3 separate regions of the Mus musculus genome follow, and all the other regions are reported to be linked to region 1. Evidence: microRNA targets listed by miRTarBase, many of them from high-throughput screens and not tested one by one. Region 1 holds a microRNA gene; each other region holds the end of a gene's coding sequence.
Evidence for each region. Region 1 holds the annotated microRNA mmu-miR-9-5p (UCUUUGGUUAUCUAGCUGUAUGA, at 3,256-3,278, shown strand). A microRNA usually pairs through its seed, bases 2 to 8, with sites in the 3' UTR of a target mRNA and lowers its output. Matches are read on the target gene's strand: a 7mer-m8 pairs with bases 2 to 8, a 7mer-A1 pairs with bases 2 to 7 and ends in A, and an 8mer does both.

Region 2: miRTarBase lists Nek9 as a target of mmu-miR-9-5p. Seed matches in the 3' UTR shown: 7mer-A1 at 459-465.
Region 3: the mRNA of Col4a1 is a reported target of mmu-miR-9-5p. The part of its 3' UTR that is shown has no 7-base or 8-base seed match.

What each region holds. Positions count from the first base shown.
Region 1 is chr13:83,735,566-83,743,373 of GRCm38, forward strand. Mir9-2 (microRNA 9-2) reads left to right here and starts at 3,249; the gene lies at 3,249-3,320. It overlaps C130071C03Rik (RIKEN cDNA C130071C03 gene), which reads left to right. Exons shown (of 4, transcript NR_152245.1): 4 at 2,605-5,743. Gm51268 (predicted gene, 51268) reads right to left here and starts at 3,311; the gene lies at 3,256-3,311.
Region 2 is chr12:85,296,822-85,302,225 of GRCm38, reverse strand. Nek9 (NIMA (never in mitosis gene a)-related expressed kinase 9) reads left to right here. Exons shown (of 22, transcript NM_145138.2): 22 at 300-2,712. The coding sequence ends at 422. It overlaps Zc2hc1c (zinc finger, C2HC-type containing 1C), which reads right to left. Exons shown (of 3, transcript NM_172414.4): 3 at 2,868-5,404. Among named protein-coding and RNA genes, the nearest start is that of Zc2hc1c, 11 kb to the right of the region's middle.
Region 3 is chr8:11,194,885-11,200,288 of GRCm38, forward strand. Col4a1 (collagen, type IV, alpha 1) reads right to left here. Exons shown (of 52, transcript NM_009931.2): 52 at 3,539-4,998. The coding sequence ends at 4,917. The region is part of intron 1 of Gm15418 (a long non-coding RNA gene); the gene reads left to right. Among named protein-coding and RNA genes, the nearest start is that of Gm15418, 9.9 kb to the left of the region's middle.

The sequences.
Region 1 (7,808 bases):
TCACAGGTGACATCGCTAGGAGTCTTTGAAGATATGTAATTGTAACGTATTGTGGGGTATATATAATACATACAATAAACCATTTTATAAACCTTGGCAATCTTATAAATAAGGGGGCACTCGATGTTAAATCTTAGTATATTTAATTTCTTCTGTGTGCCTGTGAGGTTGATAGAGAGTTAAAATATTTAATTGACTACATTGCTAATGAACAGACTACCCATAATCCTGATCTTGGCTCATTTCACTCATTGGAGTTCCCATGATGAATACCAAGCGTGGAGACCGGCCTTGTAGTAAGTTGGCATGACTAGTGTTGCCCTAAGAATGTGGTATTTATTACAGCATCTTATTCAGATTCTAGTGGGAGAAGCGTTCAGATATGCAGTGTGTTAACTCATTGTAGATATTGTTTCTAAAAACACATTTTATTGTTAGGTATGGGAATAGAGTCATAATAACTTTCAAATTCAGAAAATATGTGAATAAATAACACCCTCCCAACACATAGATATATATATGTAGCTAGCACACCTAGATACATGTGAAGAAAAGAGATTCTATAAGACCATTTTTGATTTCTTGGGCTTTGGCTTACACAGTTGACTATATCTGATCACGTGCTTATTTTATGTAATACAAGCCAAATCATTAATTACTCTGCTGCTAGTTCTTGGAAAGCAAGGCCACGGTGCTCTTTAATCTTCCAAGCTGCAAAGCTCATTAGGATTTTTACATGATGTCAGAAGTGGCATGCGCTTCACTGAGTTGTTTATGCTGTGACCATATGGTTTAGGAATGAACAAAAACTCTATGAACATGCCTTTAGGATTGGATTGTAGTGTCCGTGTGTATTTTATTTCTGACTTCTCGTTCATAATTTGAAGAGAAATATAGACGAACTCTTTCCACATCTTAGTCTTTTCTCAATAGCCAGTTACAGAATGCTTACCATAAAAGTAAACAAATTAATATAAGGACAAATTGGCATCTCTGTTACTAAGCTGTAAGCCATATCTTAATTGGTGTGATATGTTTAAACTCTTCATTGGAGATGTTTCCTATCATTAAAACACAAACCAAACAAACAAACAAAAAAAACTTGTCAGTCTCTTCTTTACAGAGTTTAGATTTTAGGGCTCTGTATGTGATTAAATAACCAGGTTCTTATTTATGTGTTAAATGAATAAATTAGTGAATTACTGAGAAAAATTTTATTCCAAAAAAATTAATAAATCCAAAAGTATTTTAGCCACTGGGGAAAATAGACACATTATGGAATTGAGAGCATTGTGAGGCACAGGTGATGTGTGCAATGTACATTTAGAATTACTAATTCTCCTTTAGCATGTAACTTAAAGAAAAGCAACATTACTAAAAAATAATTAGTAATTTGAACAATAATCCATAATGTTTACCCACAGAGAACATGCTTCTTATGTAGATTACCATGAATATTTTGTTGAGAGGGATTTGAATGTTAGATATTAGATGTGCTAGACAGATTATCTATTATAAAGGATGAGAAAGAAAAGGATTCTTTGAAGTGATTTTAAAGTCACACTTTAAAAACTCCTAAGACAATGAATGAAGCTAATTAATTAATGAAATGACCTTCTGCTTCTCGATAGAAGGATATGAGTGGGTGGGGCCAGGGAGGTGTGGTAGCTTCCCTCCCTCCCCATCCAGGTGTTGGATCTACATGTTCAGGAGACAAGACTTTTATTTTAATTTTATAAGCAAGTCTAGTGCATTATTGTCCAGTGTGAAATTTATGTTAAAACAGTAGACAAAGGCTCAGCATTTTTGCTACAGCAGAGTTGTGTACAACATTGAAACTATTGCTGCAATGTTTACCTGTGCAGCATGCTAACCCCCACACACACTCTATATGCAAAGCATTTTTAAAAAAGAAGCCCCACTGTTTAGATCGTGCAGTTCGAACTTACAGAACAAATATGCTGCCCTATCGCCACGGTACACAGATAGAAAACATGACTGAGCTGTAAAGCCATTAAAAACATAACACCAAAGCAAATTGTCATTGTAACCATCGACTCACTGCGTAAAAACAGAGCTGATTCCCAGCCCCAGAAAGCGAGGCCCTGCTTTAAGCAATAGTAAAGTGCCTTCCATCTGCCTGCCTATGCAATCTGCCAGAAGAGAAATGCAGGCAAAGAAGTTCCCCAGACCTGAAATGCTTTTATCTATCCTTAGAGAGAGATTTTCTCCATTCTTTGGATATTAGAGCGATCTACACTAGCGCCAAGGAGGTAAAAGGCCGCGGGTTGCTTTTCAAGGAGCAGTCCGTAGTGCTAGTGGATGAAATGTTGATTGAGAATATAGGGACTGCTGCAAAGCTGCTGCTGCCGTCGCCGCCACCGCTGCCGCCGTCGCCGCCGCCGTCGCCTGTGCTACTCCTGGCAGCAGGCGTGGGGCAGTTGGGTGACCACTGATGCATATCAATAACCATGTACTTGAGATTTCTCATGACATCATCATTACCTTGGTCTCCCGCAGTCTCAAACCTTTGACCTTGCCGGGCTGGTCCACAATTTGGCGGTGAAAGCCCCTCCAATGATGGCCCTTTTCTCCTTCTTTCAGACCGGGGCAGCAGTACGCCAGCAAGAGGGCATGCTCTGCCCGCCTAGAAGTCCTAAGAAATCGAGGATCTCCCTTAAAACATTCACATACAAGATATGTGCAATCAAGCTGCCTGCACTTGGTAAAAAAGATCATGATGCCTAACCCAATGATCCGGAGCAGATCTTTGAATCAGCTGTCACTTCTATAGAATGGGATTTCCCCCTTCTTCCTCTTTAACCAGCGTTGGAAACTGCCGATGGCTTTATACATCTCAGTAGAGGAAGGCTAAAGAATCTTCCGTGAGAATGAAGCAATTTACAATGCAAATAGAGGCCTGTGAAGAGAAGGACACTGCTGCTCACCCCCAACAGCTTGCTGCACCTTAGTCTCTGGTCTTAATTTCTGATACTCATAGATGAATTGTTGGCTAACGATACTGGAGATTACTTGCTGGAAGGGGAAAAGTTTGGAATAAACTCTGAATGCAACAGATCTCATTTGGATGTTCTAGCCGCACACACTAAGACAGAAACCAGGTCATGTTTACATGAAAGGAGAAGCTTAAACGCGGCAAGTACCCCGGAGGACTACGCTTCCCTAAAGCCAAAGAGGATCGAGATCTGGAGTTCAGCCAGAGGAAGGCAGCCTTGTGAGGGAAGCGAGTTGTTATCTTTGGTTATCTAGCTGTATGAGTGTATTGGTCTTCATAAAGCTAGATAACCGAAAGTAAAAACTCCTTCAAGGTCACCGAGGAACGTTCCGGAAAGAAAGACTGCAACCAAGAGACAGTAAAAACCAGAAAGGTCAGGAATGCTTATTGAATCTAACTTTTTTTATCTTATGATTGAAAGTGGGATGCAAGAAAATTAAGTGACACGCATATTGAAATCTAAAGGGGCCAGGCTTTGAGGGGCTTGTACAACTGGAGAGGAGAATTGTGTAGTGTTTTTTACGGGTGACGATGCATGTATTTTCTATATTGTTCATTTTGAAGCAAACGTTTACATATGAGGTTTTTTTTTTCTTTTTTTTTCTTAGAAAGCTGTTATAGTGATGTCTGGTACCTCGCTTAAAAATGATTTCATAATTATGTAGATTTGGGCTGTTCCTATCTGAGGCCCCTCCCCCAAGTTTGAAGCTTGTGCCTGGAAACTTTCTATGTATTTGGGTGTGTACATCAAATTCTGTGAAGTTAGACTTTCAGTAAAGCTTATACTGGAAGGTTAATAATTTATATCTACCGAAGACTTAGAGCTAGCAGGGAAAAGGGGTGGGGGCAAAGGCTGATTTTTATTCTTCTATTCAAAATACAAGGACAGATGCTTCTCTGTTCCAAGAGGGTTTCCTTGAGGAAGCTACTGAAGCAGAAAGACATGATGGAGACGAGATCGCCTCCCCTCTTGTCAAAGTGTTAAAAAAATGTTCTGTCTTACTCTGCGCCTAGCATTGGAAATGAAAGTGACATTTACGCCACAACCCACGTGTGCGCCTCCTCTCTTTTTGTTTAAGGATGATCAGGTCTATCCAGGAAACAGCTCTGGCATCCCAAACTGAAATAATTAGGACGTATATAGACCTGACAAAAATGGAAAGGGGGTGGGGAATCTGAGGGTCTGTCTTGCCTAATTGATTCCGCTAAACGGAAAGCAGGAGATGTGAACGGCAGGACGCTCCGATTCCCACGCTCGGGGGCAAGTGGTAAAGCCTGGCCGGCAGCCTATGACAGACAGCCCTGTTGGGGGGTAGGGGTATGAAAAAAACATCAAGCACACACACACCATACTCATCTCCATCGCTTAAGAAAGTAAAGGCATTTCCCACCCACAGCCATCTGCAGCCTCCCAAATGGCAACACCAACTGGTTGGTAGCTGCTATGTACTGTCTCTGTTCATTTTTAAACCTCTGTTTAATCTGGCCATGATTAAATTTGGATTTCTCCTTTGGTTGAAATTTTCACCATTTAAGGAAAACAAGTGGAAAGGGTGCCAAGAGTGCCCCAGAACTGCATGCCCTTCTCAGAGAAGTCCTCAGTATGTGGTTAGGGCCTTGTGACCACCTTTGGCTTTTGTTTTGGCTGTGTTATATTTTAAAGTCATGTCTCATAGCATTCATTATTATGACTTACTTCATCGGGTTGTTTACTTCCTTGTGTGACACACAGGAACTTGGCCTACTTATGCTAATCTACATTCTGGAAATAAAGCTATAAAGTCATCAGTCTGTAGAAAGTTGATTACAATCACAATATGTTAGAGAACTTGTTTTGTTTTAGAATTGTCCTAGCGGATGAGCTTTTTTTTTCCCTTTTCCCCCTCCTCTTCCTTTTCTTCCTCCTCTTCCCTCTTCATCTAAAAGTCACTAGTCCCAGCATAAACTTTGAGGCTTTGGAGAAACCACTGTAGTCCTTTTTTGAAGTTCCTTGCATCCTGTTACATTTTATCAGGCAAACATTTGTATAGGCATTTGCACATAAATACAAGCATTGCAATGAGAAAAAAAATTCCAAAATTGCTTCTTTTCTTTCATATGGCCTAAATTACTGACACTCCCAAATGCATAAGTTTTCTTCAGGGACAGTACATTTTTCTTTATAGCTTCAACTTCTTGTAAGATTGACACCAGAGAAACCTGTAAAGCCACTGGTAGTTTCATTTAGAAAAGCCAAGAGACTTTAATAACACAACTTCTCAGTTTGGCCGCTGTACACGTGCCAAAGTTTGACTGCTGTAGAGGCAGTCGAGAAGACCCTTGCTTATTTACCTTGGAAGCACTGTTTGTGCAAACAAGCTTTCATTGTTAAGTGCCTGTATTCCTTTCATTTGCTTCATGTCCAGGGGTGCTATTTACCTAGAACCATTGTCTACTACAATTAACATTTACATTACAAAGTGTGTGCTTTTCTTTCTCAAGGAGGTTCAATTAAGGCAATAAGATGTTTGCTGGGGAAACCTATTGTTTACTCAAAGCTCTCAATGGAGTCACATTACTGAAGTTTTTGCCTACATCTTGGGTCGTTTATGTAAATATGTTAACTATAACATCTAAGGAAAATAAACAATATTAAAATTATGTGTTTGCCATTGTCATATCCAACTTGCTTTGTATCATACTAATGTTACATAACTTATCGATCAATAAAAATACATTTCAATGTTATTTTCATTTTACTTTTTGCTGTCCCACTGCTCCTGCTGCAACATGTCCCAGATTTTCTTTTTTTCTATTACACATCAAACTTCTGACATTTTGTTTTATTTGTGTGTGTTGAAGGAGGTACCATATCTAAGCATGAGTCTAATGGTGTCCAAGATAATCTCTACAGTGACCTTATCATAAGGTGATATTTCTTTAAAATTTGAAATATTCCGAAGGCACGCACATTGAAGTCAAAAGCAGTGTAACTATCAGTTAAGTAGTTCTTTGAAAGCTAGTTTTAACATTGGCAGAAACCGGATCAAGTTTATTTAGCATACCACTGCATTGTAAACCAGTTGGAGTGAAGTTGCAGGTTGCGTGAGTATGCATGTTAACTAGTGGGAACCAAGGCAGGCTTTGTGAAAGGAGAGCAGCAGATTGCTGTGCAAGGCCAATGTTAAAAAGGCAGCTGAATTTAACACCATCTGGAAGAAAAGATCCCTTCACGACTTTCTCACACCGTCAGACAAAACTAGTGTCTCTTGTTCCTAGCCCTTGTCTATGCAACCATACAATACTGAGTCATTATACTTTTGCTGAGAGAAAATTTGAGAACACAATATGGGTAACCAGTGAATGACCAAGTTTCATTGTGCCCGTCTAAGTCGATTGAAATCTACGTCTAGGGCTATGAATGGCTGTATTGTTTTCCTCACCAGGGCTGTACTAAATGTCAGCACAGTGTAAAGAAAAACTTGAAGTCTGCAAATAACTTACCAGATCTCAATTATAATATTTTCCCACACTAGAACTAATATCATTGCAAGGGGTTACATTGCAGAAAATACAAAAAGAAATGAGAAGAAATAAGAGAACTCATTACGAAGTTATTTTATCTAGACAAACATTTTAATTTGCTGATGAGACATTCAGGACACAGGTCTAGTTGAAGAGTGGAGTTCATTACTTGGATGTTGAAGTTCTAAAACTGCTTCTTGTGTAATTAAAATAAATTAAAAACAAATATCCACTTCAGTCTGAAAGTCTGATTGAGCATAAACGGACTCCAATTGGTTTTTATTGCTGTAGTTCTGCTTAGAAGCTGTTAGTGTGACTCCAACTTAAATTTTGCTTTGAGTTTCAGCATACTACTCTTTCCAAGTTTGACTGGTGATGGACAGACACTGTAAATGAACACCATAGAAGTATATTTCCCAAGACACACAAGAGCTTACGAGTGTATTCTAGTGCCCTGTACACTTTCTTTTTATAGTTTCTAAGAGTTTTTACACACGTGTATCAATCAGTTATCTTTCAGGCTAATGTTCACATGATTTATTTGACTGTAAACAGAAAAGAGTAACAGAACAGTTCAGAAAGAGTAAAAGAAGCTGATGGTTCACGCTTTATTGAGATGTCTATTTTAAGTATAATTGACTTTGCAGTTTTGCTATTGTATCACCAAGTTCTTCACATGTAAGTGCAAAACAGCGAATAACTGCCATTTTGCTGAATAACACATCTGAGTTCCCAATGTCAAAGGTATTTGTGTGTGTGTGTATTCCTAAATAGGAACACCAACTGCAGTCTTTGACATTTAGAATATTTTAGTAAAATATTTAAAAAGAGGATGATCAAATGATAGCTCTAAAAGTGAATGTAAAGCTATAGGCAACTTATTTCCCTTGCTTTATTTTGTGATGTTACAAACTAACAGTGAAAAGTCACTCAATAATCAAATTATAAGGCATATATCATTAAACACAGAAAAAAAAAATCCAACCCAACAACAAAGATAGAAATTGAATAGAAGTTAAAACATAGATATATAGAAGATGTCTATAATCTTGGCAAAATAGGCATGAGTATGTTTTTCAGTGCCTTTCATTTTCTGAAGTTGCTATGAATATGTATAATAATAAAATAAATACACTATTTATATTAAAAATGGAATGCTTTTTTCAAAATAGCTTTTCTTCAGGTCTTCTTAAAGCATTACATTTTGTATTAATAGTGTTCTTTATGTTTATTTTAAGAATTTATATGACTTTCTTATTTGAAAATATGTAAAATTCTAATGTGATTT
Region 2 (5,404 bases), not on the chromosome of region 1:
ACTCATGGAGACAATCCTCCTTCATGCTTCTGCCTCCTGGGTGCTGGAATCAAAAGTGTGCACTGAGACCCCCAGCCAGTTCACTTTTCATACTACATCCCCCAAATGCTGTAGAGCTGGACAAACCAGAGCAGCTGTTGCTCTACTGCCTAAGTGTAAAGATAGAGCCTGTTTCCAAGGCAGTGCCGCCAAGCCTTCCGTAGACTGACAGCAAACCCTGAGAGGTCAGACGCTATTGAAAGCAGCCTGGTGCCGTGGCCAGGCACTGTAGCTAATGTGGAACTGCTTTGTCTGCACAGGTGGGGATGCACTCCAGAGGAACCCAGACAGCAAAGGAAGAAATGGAAATGGATCCAAAGCCTGACTTAGACTCGGAGTCCTGGTGCCTCCTCGGAACAGACTCTTGTCGACCCAGCCTCTAGTCTCCTGAGCCCACATAGCCCTCAGGAAACTGGGACCCAAAGAACTTCACCGCACACTTACTGAGTGCAGAGAGCAGCTTTCCTGGCTTTGCTCACTTGCAGACACAGAGTGCAGGGCAGAAGGAGGCTCAAAAGCACTTTCCTTGTTCATTTGGAGAGTGGCATTGCCTTTTAGATAGGATCTAGGAGTGATTTTACTGTGTGGGAGAATGGAAGGGTCCTGTGGACCTGGCTTTGTCATCAGTGTTGCCATAGCAACAGCAGCTCTGTACCTCATCTTCTGAGCCCACCTTTGAAGAGGAGACACAGCACTCACCTTAACTGCACTGGTAGCAGCTCATTTTCTGTTTATCATTCTCATCACTAATTGGAAGCTGCTTTGGGATTTAAGCACCAGGCATTGCACATCTGGATGGATGAAGGAAAATATAAAAATGGAGTGGGCTGCCCAGGGTCCTCCAGAGAGTGGAAAGTATTCATGCCCTCTCAGAAGCCTGGAGTCCAAGAAAACTTAGTGGTAGCGTCAGTCTAGAGCTTATTTTCAGGAAGTTCAGTTACTTCGTGCAGCTGGGTGATCATGAGAAAGCTCAGGTTGCTTTCACCGTGGATGTTTGAAGCTTCAGTGAGGAGCAGAGAAAGGGCAGGCCCTCATCACGACGGCCGGACTCTGGGGCTACAGTCAGTACAGGGTGGGGGTGCCTCCCTCCAAGACACAAGATGTCTACACCCTCCTCGGGGAGTATGTCGAGCTGTGGGGGAAAGTCAAGGGGGAGGTAACCCTTCCTACAGTGCCTTGCCTTGCTATCTGGGAGGACCTCAGTGATACTGCCCTTTGGAGGTTTCTCTGTACCTCTAGCATCGTGGCCATCTGAATGGGATGAGCAGCCCTGGGCACTCCCTGTCTTTGTCTAGTCAGTATTTTTTCCTTTGGTGTGTTTTGGAGCCATGTCATACCCAGTAAATCAGTATCATCTTTGTACTTGAGAAGCCCAAAGCCAGCACCAAATCCTTGGGGTCACAAAAGCTTGACAGATAGAACCTGCCGAGTAGGAGGGGATTGGCTTCAAGCTCACATCTGTGTTCTTGTTGAGAGGAGCAGCCACCTTCTCCAAGGACAGTGTATGTCCTAGAAGAGAAACCTTCTAGGCCAGCAGTTGATAGTTTCCCTTAAATGTGAGCCTTGCACTTCCACCAAGTCTAATGGATTGCTTGTGTTTGAGGCCACAGCAGCTCCTTTGATAAGTACCATATCCTCTGTACTACACACAGCTAAATTAATATTGTTTCATTTAACCAAACCCCCCCCCCAAAAAAAAGGTTGGCTATCTCTCTTAATATTGCAGGAGGACCTACCTATGCAGGAGAAATTTTGCCATTTCCTTAAGCTAGTGGTATAGAGGCTGGTGCTGGGAGGAAGTCCCACCTCTGAGGATGGGCAGCTCTGTCCAGTGGCATCATTGATGTCCCTTGTTTTCTCAGTTCTGAGAAGCACAGTACAGTGGTACTGCTTTCAGCACTGAGGCTTATTCCTAGAATAGGGGAAAGCCCAAACCTGACGTAAGGTTACAAGTTCTAGGGGTCTGGCAGTAAACCCTGCAGAGAGTTTTGGTTCAGTTTGGTCAATGCAGCTTTGGTTTTCGTCAGGACTGGCTGGCCTTTCAAGGTCCTGTATCCTTACGCTTACCATCTCAGCAGGCCTGAGAGGCAGGGTTTAAGGTGTTCAGTACGAGCATTGCTTCTGCTCTGGAGCTGAGGGGTGTGGGCATGTTGCTGACTGTGGGGTGACAGTGCATGCTGAGGCAGGCAGGAATCCTAGGGAGCCGTGCTCAAGTAGAGCATGGCGGCGGTTCTCTAGTATATTCCTTCGGGAAGTCTAGATTTGCTATTACTCTAGCTGGGAATCTAAGTTCTGTGCCTTAGAGACAATTTGCACTTTCCAGAATTGTGCCTAGGACAACCATAAGATGTTCTCCCCTACCAAACAGCTATGCAAACAAAAACCAGTTCAAAAGTCACAACCATGCACTGGGTTGAGTAACAGTCAAGACAGCAGAAATGTCTTCAAACGGTTTTCTATAGCTAAATCTTCGTAAATTGTCCTGTTTATCCTCTATGCAGTGCTCTGTGTTTGAAGCTTGCCGGTAGTGTTGCTTTGAGTTACAGTATAGCCTGCGTTTATCCTCTGTGCCAACACTTGGCTGAAGAGCCAGCTTATTGTTAGCCTGAAGCTGGGAAGGATGAGGATGGAGTGGTGTGGCATTTCTGTTTTAAATAAACGTTTAAACTCTCAGCGAGGGCTGTGTTTGAGTAAGCCTGTCTACCACCTCAGTCACCAAAGACGGAACACCCACAGTTCGAGGCCTTGGGAAATCTCTAATTCTGTGAGTCTTCTATAAATAAATAACTAAAAGTGTTCTTTATACAGAAATGACACAAGAGACATTACACGGAAATAATCTCTGCTGTTTTCCAATCTCATTCTTGCCAGAAAAAAAAAGCAAACAATTTTTTCCCCAGAAGTTTGTAAAAATTTAGAAAGTGCAGAAGGGGGAAAAGCCATTAAAGGAAGGATTGTCAGCAGGTCAAGAGTGGCTTGCTAGGCACTCAAGGTGACCAGAGTCCAACCTACAGAGTCCACACAGCTGTGTGTGGTCTCACACACTGGCGTGTGCATGCCTGCACTCATACACACCATGGGCCTACATAACATTGAGAAGAATCAGAGTTCTACACACCTCCTTGGTTCTCATGGGGAGACTTTTCCAAGTGATCATGCCAGTTTGTCTATAAAACTTCCTCAAGAAAGCTGAGTTGAACTTGGTCTCCTTGGCACAACAGCTGTTGCTCTTGGCTGAACATCACACTAAAGTTTAAAGCAAAAGGCTTCTAATGCTCAAATTTCATCTGGTTTGTTATCTATTCAGAAACATTTATGATGGGAGGAACAGCCAAGGAAAAAAAATATGTATTTTAGAGAAAGTTACTTATATGAGATCCCCAGGCCTCAAAGGAAGTACCAGTCATGATAGCAGGAGGCAGGGTCAGGACTCTGAGATGCCCTGCAAAGCCAGAAGTCATTTATTGCCTCAGTGATTAACTGCCGACATAAATACGCCGGTCATTAAACCTCACGGGTCATGGGCTTTGAGGAGGAAGATCTACATCCCAGCTCTGCTTGCCATCTGTGTGGTTGTGAAGAATGATCAACTGACCGAAAGCAAATGTTGACAAGAGGCACTGTGCTATGTGAACTAGGAAGTCTTTGCCCCAACATGTCTGCACACATTTCTAAATGGAAAGAGCACCTCAGGAGTTTGACTGTGAGAATTTCCCAGAGCTTTGGAACTTTAAAATGTATACTGTTTACGACGTGTGCTTAAAGTCCATGGACATTGGCAAGCAGTACCTGCGTGATCTCTAGTTGAGCTTGTAACGGGGCCCTTCCCTCCCCCAGAGTTGGAGCTAGCTAAATTCCCAAGGCTGACAATCAAGGTCGCAGGGAATACAAAGACAGCTGCTTGTTTTCTCCTTGGTACCTTAAAAATGAGTAAGTGCCACGTCTGGAGAAAGCCCTACACACACTTGTTCCCTCTTGAGAGCTCTAACCTATGACTCTAATAACATCATAATGGATCCCAAATCCTTATGCTCAGGAGGCCCAGCAGATGAGGCAGGGAATCTGGTTCTGTCTGCCATCATTCCCTCTAGAAGGAGCAGAGCAGCAGATTTTGAACTCCTTCCAGTGTGCCCCGTGTAGGTTGCTGCCCAGTGTTTCCACAGCCTCCAGATTGCCAAGACATGCTCCTACCCCAGGGTCAGAAGATCATTTGAAATGCTTCGTAACATTTATGAATGTTATATGAATGGGGTGGGGGTGCTGGAGAGATGGCTCTGAGGTTAAGACCACTTGTTGCTCTTGTAGATGACCTGGGTCCTCAGCACACACATGGTGACCCACAACCATCTGCAGCTCCAGTATCTGGAGATCCAACACCCTCTGACTTCTGCAGGCACCAGGCGTGCACATGGTGCACATACATACATGTGGTCAAAACACTCGTAAATCATTTTAAACTCTGAACATCTGTGGGGATGCGACCTTGTGATTTTAGCCGTGGCGTATTTGTTACATGGAATAAAGAACATTGTGTACTCCTCAGTGAACTTGCCTGGGGGAGAGGGCATGTCAGGTTAAAGACCCAGTGGTCCTAAGAGCTTAAGCAGCCAACCTTCTTAAGCTCCCCAAATCCATTAGTTGAAGGCCTAACTTGAAGTGGGCACTCTTCCCACGGTTAAGAAGACCTGATCCCTTTCAGAGTTTAAAATAGAAGCACGACTATGTTCTGATCTCTGGGCCATGAAAAACAGTGAGCATTGTCCACACTTGCTTAGACAGGCTCTGCTGCCTCGAGGCGGACAGCCACACAGTCATATTTGAAAGGATACCAGCCACTTCTTCCATCAACATAGGAAACACATTTAAAGAGAACAAGTACAGAGAAGTAAAACTTTTCTACCCACCCCTACTCTGTGAAGAGCATAAAGCTATTTCATTATACAGTACACCACAGGGAAGGGTTAGGATACACTGGTTCCCTAACGGTCCATACTTTTGTTGGCTTTCAGCCAGGACTGTGGCCCATGGAGGCCAAGAACAGACTTCCATTATGAGCACCTCACTGCATAGTCGAACTGCCTTTTATAAGAGTTACCATCTGTGTGACAGTAGTACTCCGACCCCACTCTCTCTTCTTTATATCCCAATTTTCAAGAGCAAGAAGGGCTAACAGAACCCCTGGACATGTGCCGTGGCCAGGGGATGCGGATTGGGGCACTTCACCAGCACAAACCATGGTCAGGCTCAGGAAAAGAGAGCTTTAATGCAGTCCTCACCTACCAAGTCTTCAGGCAAGAACATAAACACTCAGCCAAGTTCTGATTCAGTGAGAAGCTGGGGCTTCTGTTTGTCTCTTGCCACGTAG
Region 3 (5,404 bases), not on the chromosome of region 1:
ATTTAACCAGACCATGGCAACACACAAAAAGACTAAAAGCAGCTTTCCTAACTTGCGTACACAAAAAGTATTTAATAAAATATTAGCAAACAAGGAGATGATTCCAACCTGGGGCCATGTGGCCCAAGCAGCGAGTCAACCCAAGATGATCACCAGTCCAGAGTAACCAGGAAGGCCTAGATAGGCAGACGACACCCAAAAGGACCCCTGCCTGGTACCACACTGCACAGGTGGGGCATAGCACTCCTGAGACCAATCCTGAGACAATCACAGACACTCAGACACCACAGGCACTGCTAAGAGGAGCAAGTCAGTGGCAGAGAGATGGGAAAGAGAGAAACAGGAGGATGTGGGCACCATGAAGAGAGGCAGAATTGGAGACTTGAGTGAGTGAGGAACAGCCTGATGTGAGTAGCTGGTGACGCCACCATGGTGGCGGTTCTGGCCTGTGCTGCCATCAAGAGCCATGTCTGGGGTCGGTCCATGGCCCTGCAGCAGCAGGAGTCTGCAACCACCAAAGGCCAGTCTGATGTCTCTGGTCTGAGCCACTACCTGGGGCCATCTTGATGTCTGGGGACTGTGCAGAATCAGCCCCCACCCCTTGTTAGGGCATCATGAGCTGTCCCTGGGGCATGAGATCAGGAGAGCTGTCCCTGCCTGTCACCGGCTGCAGCAATCGGGAGAATGGGCCCTGCACCTTGCTTGGGTCACAATAGAGCTGATCCTGGTGGCAGGGGCACTGGCGAGCTGGCCCTGAGGGTTTCAGTGTAGGAGAGCTGGGCCCACAACATGTCTGCTGTACAGAGGTGAACATGAGGCAGAAAGGCCCCCCACCTCATCCTTTGCCACCTATGCCAGGTGAGAGAGCTGGCCTCATTCCTCACACAGCTGCCACACTTAGGAAAGCAGGCTCATCACCTCACCTGGGCAGGACAGTAGAGCTGGCCCTGATGGTGTGGGCGTGGATGAGCAGTCCCTGAGGGCATGAAAGCAGAGAGCTGGTTCTGCCCCTTGCTGCCATTGGATGACCTAGCAGGGGCAGAGATGGAGAGCTTGCAGGCTGGCCAACTCAGCTACCTCCCAGGCCCAGATCCAGGACTTTAAATCAGCCCACCCCAGCATCTACCCCACAGATGAACTGCTGGAGTTTATGAAGGGGCAGTCCTACAGATCCAAAACTATAGGATCTCCATGACACAGGGCAACAACAGGACTCCAAGAGGAGTCTCAGAGGGTTCCAGTATTGATAGAGTCGCAGAATCCAGAAGCCTCAGACCAGACTCAAGGAAGTGAACATTTGCAAGCAAAGTGTAGACAAAAGGACATACTGTGTGACACACTAAGATTTCCACAAGATCTTTTTTCTTTTGGCAGGGAGGTTGCAAGGGTGAAGGGTGGGTACCAGGGAACAGGGAGATGAATGGGACTGAGGTACATGGTGTGAAATTCACACAAAAAAAGTAGTTTTAAAATAGCAACCAAAATGTTTGATGCATAAAAAGAATAACACACTGTGACTGAGTGGACTTTATCGTGGAAATGTAAAAACTGTCTATCTGCATAGACACACGACCAATGTACAGACATGCAAACAGAACACTCATATACATACATTTTTTTTAAAAAGGTTACTTTTAAGCTAAATCAAGACAGCTTGGTATGGAAAGTGGAGCCACTGGTAGGTGGGTGAAACTAGGGAATCCCTAAGATAAGCTCACACTTAGAGCCAATTAAATTACAGATACAAAATGAACTCAGTAAAGAAACATGACCTCGGGCTAAAGAGATGGCTCAGTGGTTAGGAGCACGGACTGCTCTTCCAAAGGTCCTGAGTTCAAATCCCAACAACCACATGGTGGCTCACAACCACCTGTAATAAGATCTGATGCCCCCTTCTGGTGTGTCTGAAGACAGCTTTAGTGTACTTAGATATAAAATAAATTAATAAATAAGTCTAAAAAGAAAGAGAGAGAGAGAGAGAGAGAGAGAGAGAGAGAGAGAGAGGAAGGAAGGAAGGAAGGAAGGAAGAAAGAAAGAAAGAAAGAAAGAAAGAAAGAAAGAAAGAAAGAAAGAAAGAAAGAAAGAAAAGAAAAGAAGAGAAAAGAAACAATGACCTCTCTCTCAAGGTATCTGAGAACAGATACCCACATGTAACGTAATCATGTGTTAAAGGCACACCTAATCTTTTAAAAACTAAACTGCTTGTATGTCCCACACATCTAGATGCAGCTGATTTTTGACAAACATGTCCAAGATTGTTTCACTTCTGAGAGTAGAGGGAGGAGGGGGAGAGACTGAGAACGCCACGGCGCTGTAAGAACCTGGATTGGGGGGGGGTGACATAACTGCAGAGGGTTTTGGTTATGGTCCCATGAATCCTATTATTTGTCTTCTCCATTCTCACAGACAGAGGAAAGCACAAAGAGTGCTGTCTATCAGTTACGTCAAAAGTGAGCAGAGGACCAAAATCAGACCTCCCTCTGTGACCTTGGCCTAGTAATGTGAGCATTCAGGGCACCGTGCGTAGCGTCCACAGCGGGATCTCCTGTGTTATCTCACACAATGTTCCCTCATGCTCTTGCTTCTTCCTTGCGCATAAAGGTCGCTCGCTCGCTCATACATTACCCTGATTCATCCTCACTGTGGCTGTGCTGGGTTGAATTCGCCAAGGACATGTCAACAGTTAGACTTTTCATGAAAACTGAAAAACATATCCATCCCACATGGACTGTATTTCAACCGAGTTTAAAACTGAAGCTTGCTGGGTGTGGTGACACACACCTTTAATCCAAGCCCTGGGAGGCAGAGGTGGTAGGTGGGTCTCTACCAGTCTGAAGTCAGCCTGATCTACACAGAGAATTCCAGACCAGCCAGCTGGTTGGTTTATGTAGTAAGACAATGTCTCGAATAACAAACAAAATTACCAAAGCTTAAATCTCCCCCCCCACACACACACACACAGACAATATCTTCTTTTTGTACATGTATGTGTATGTTTGTGTATACCATCTTTTATGTGCATGCATGGAGACAGGTTCGTGTGTACAACATGAAGTCAATGTTCAGGGTCTTCCTGAATCACTCTTATTTTCTGGGAAACTGTCATTGAACCTGGAACTCCCCAACTCAGCCAGACAGGCTGGTAAGCAAGGGCCAGGGATCTGAGTGTCTCAGCCCTCCCTGCCCAGGCCCCCATTGCCACAGCCACTGGCATGGGCCACCGCACTTGACTTTTTCCGTGCATCCTGGAAATCCAAATGTACACTCTCTGACTGAGCCACCTCTCCAGCACACATCTGAGCTGAGTATCTCAGTTGAGTCTGAATGCAGCCCCATGCCCTTGTCCTCTCTGCTGCAGAAATGGGCTAAGGCCTGACAGATCCAATTTCAATGTCACTCTGCTGGCCTGGTGACTAAGGAATGCCTGGGCTGACAATGCAGTGAAAGTATGGCAGGGTTCTCTTCCTTTGTAGTTAGTCGCCCTAAGTTACCCCCAGTCTAGGACTCTTGTTTGAACACATACAAAATAAAAATGATCTAAGGTATGCAGCAAAGCTTACAGGTTTATTAGTGGTACGTGTGGTAACTTCTCTTTCAACGTTTCATTTCTAGCAACAAATCCATAAAAGCTTCATTTTTATACAAATAGTTTTATTACAAATTTGAATTCTTAAGAAATACACATTTAAAGAAATTACACAGAAGGCCTTAGTAGTCTTAAAAACTTTTTTTTTTTTTTTTGGAGGGTGGGTACTTTTAGTGAAATGTCACTTCAAGCATAGTGGTCCGAGTCTGCCCTCCTGCGACCTGTCCACTCCCTGCAGGGGCTGTGTCACAGCTCGAGAGGAGCTGGGAAGTTGCCTGTGTGTGCTCAGGTGTGAAATGCCTGCCAGGATGCAGGATGAAGGAGGCTAACAAAGGCCTTGGCTGTCGTACGGGAAGTCAGTCATTCAGTCTGTGGTTAGTGTTGCAAACCCTGAAAATACTCCACGCAGAGCAGAAGCAAGAAGCGCCAGGCACAGGGCTCATTATCAGACACCATGTTTAGGAATGGGTTTGGCTTTGGCTATCTATACACCTCCTCTGGTTTAGGAGTGAGTTTGAGGAAAGCTGGTGTTTCACATTCAGTGGCCTGATGTTGGTAACCCTGTGAAAGGATAGTACAGTTTCTCCAGAGACGAAAACCAAGTGCGCTTTATTTAACAACAGGCTCTACGCTAGAACTTGACCTGCCTAATTGCTGACACCTATATAAATTACTAATATATATATATATTTATTTACTTATTTATTTATTTTCCATCTAACCTTTGGACCATCTTTATTCCACAGGAAAGCCATGACTTCCACAAAAGCAGCTGCATAGTACCACACAGGGCATAAGTTTGTGTTTGGGGCTGAAACGATGGAGTTCCATGTAGAAAGTGGAAGAAACCAGTTCCCTTGACTGTTCTCTGCATAGCCCCTCGAGGGACCTGATGTGGAAACACTGGACAGTGGGTTGGACAGCACTCACATCTGGGGTGACAGGATGAAGCGGGCTGTGGGCTGTGTGGAGAGCGCCTCACGCCCCTAGCACCTTTGGGTTTCTTATGGAGTTCTCGCCCCAGACATCAGTGCACTGGATTGCAAAATGCAATTCATCTTTTATTGGATCAGGAGCGCCATTTGGTATGTGCCATTATGGAAAGCTCTCCGCTGCCTGTCCTTCTCCTTCAGCAAACAGAGGCCAACGAAGCGGGGTGTGTTAGTTACGCGAATCCCTATAAGGCACTTTATGGTTTTCATAGTGGACAGTGAGGTACACAGGATATAATTCTAGGGTTCATTGCTGTTACAAATACAATGGGAGGGAGAAGAGGACAAGGGGGGGGAGTAGCACCATGTTGTGACGGTGGCAGAGGCGAGCATCATAGTTATGTTCTTCTCATGCACACTTGGCAGCGGCTGACGTGTGTTCGCAGCTCCCCTGCCTTCAAGGTGGATGGCGTGGGCTTCCTGCAACACAACAGAGTTACACCGTCAGCAGCAGCAGCAACAGCGAGTCATGGAGCATCAGAAATGCAGGTGCTTACAGAATCAGAAATTCTGTAGCCCCAGCTCCAGAGCCCTATGATCCCTAAGGGACCAGATAAACATCCGTCTACATTGATGATAAACAGCAACTGGGGTCTGTGGTTCTACAACATGGGAATGTTTTAGACATTACCTACATGCACGAGCCCACCGGAGCCCAGCCAAGATCACACCTCTCAGCCATAGGACTAATTAGCTTTTCTTTTTTTTTTTTTAAGAAATATGTATTTTTATTAATTTATTTATTTTTCTTTATACAAGCACACTGTAACTATCTTCAGATACACAGCAGGAGAGTGCATCAGATCCCGTTACAGATGGTTGTGAA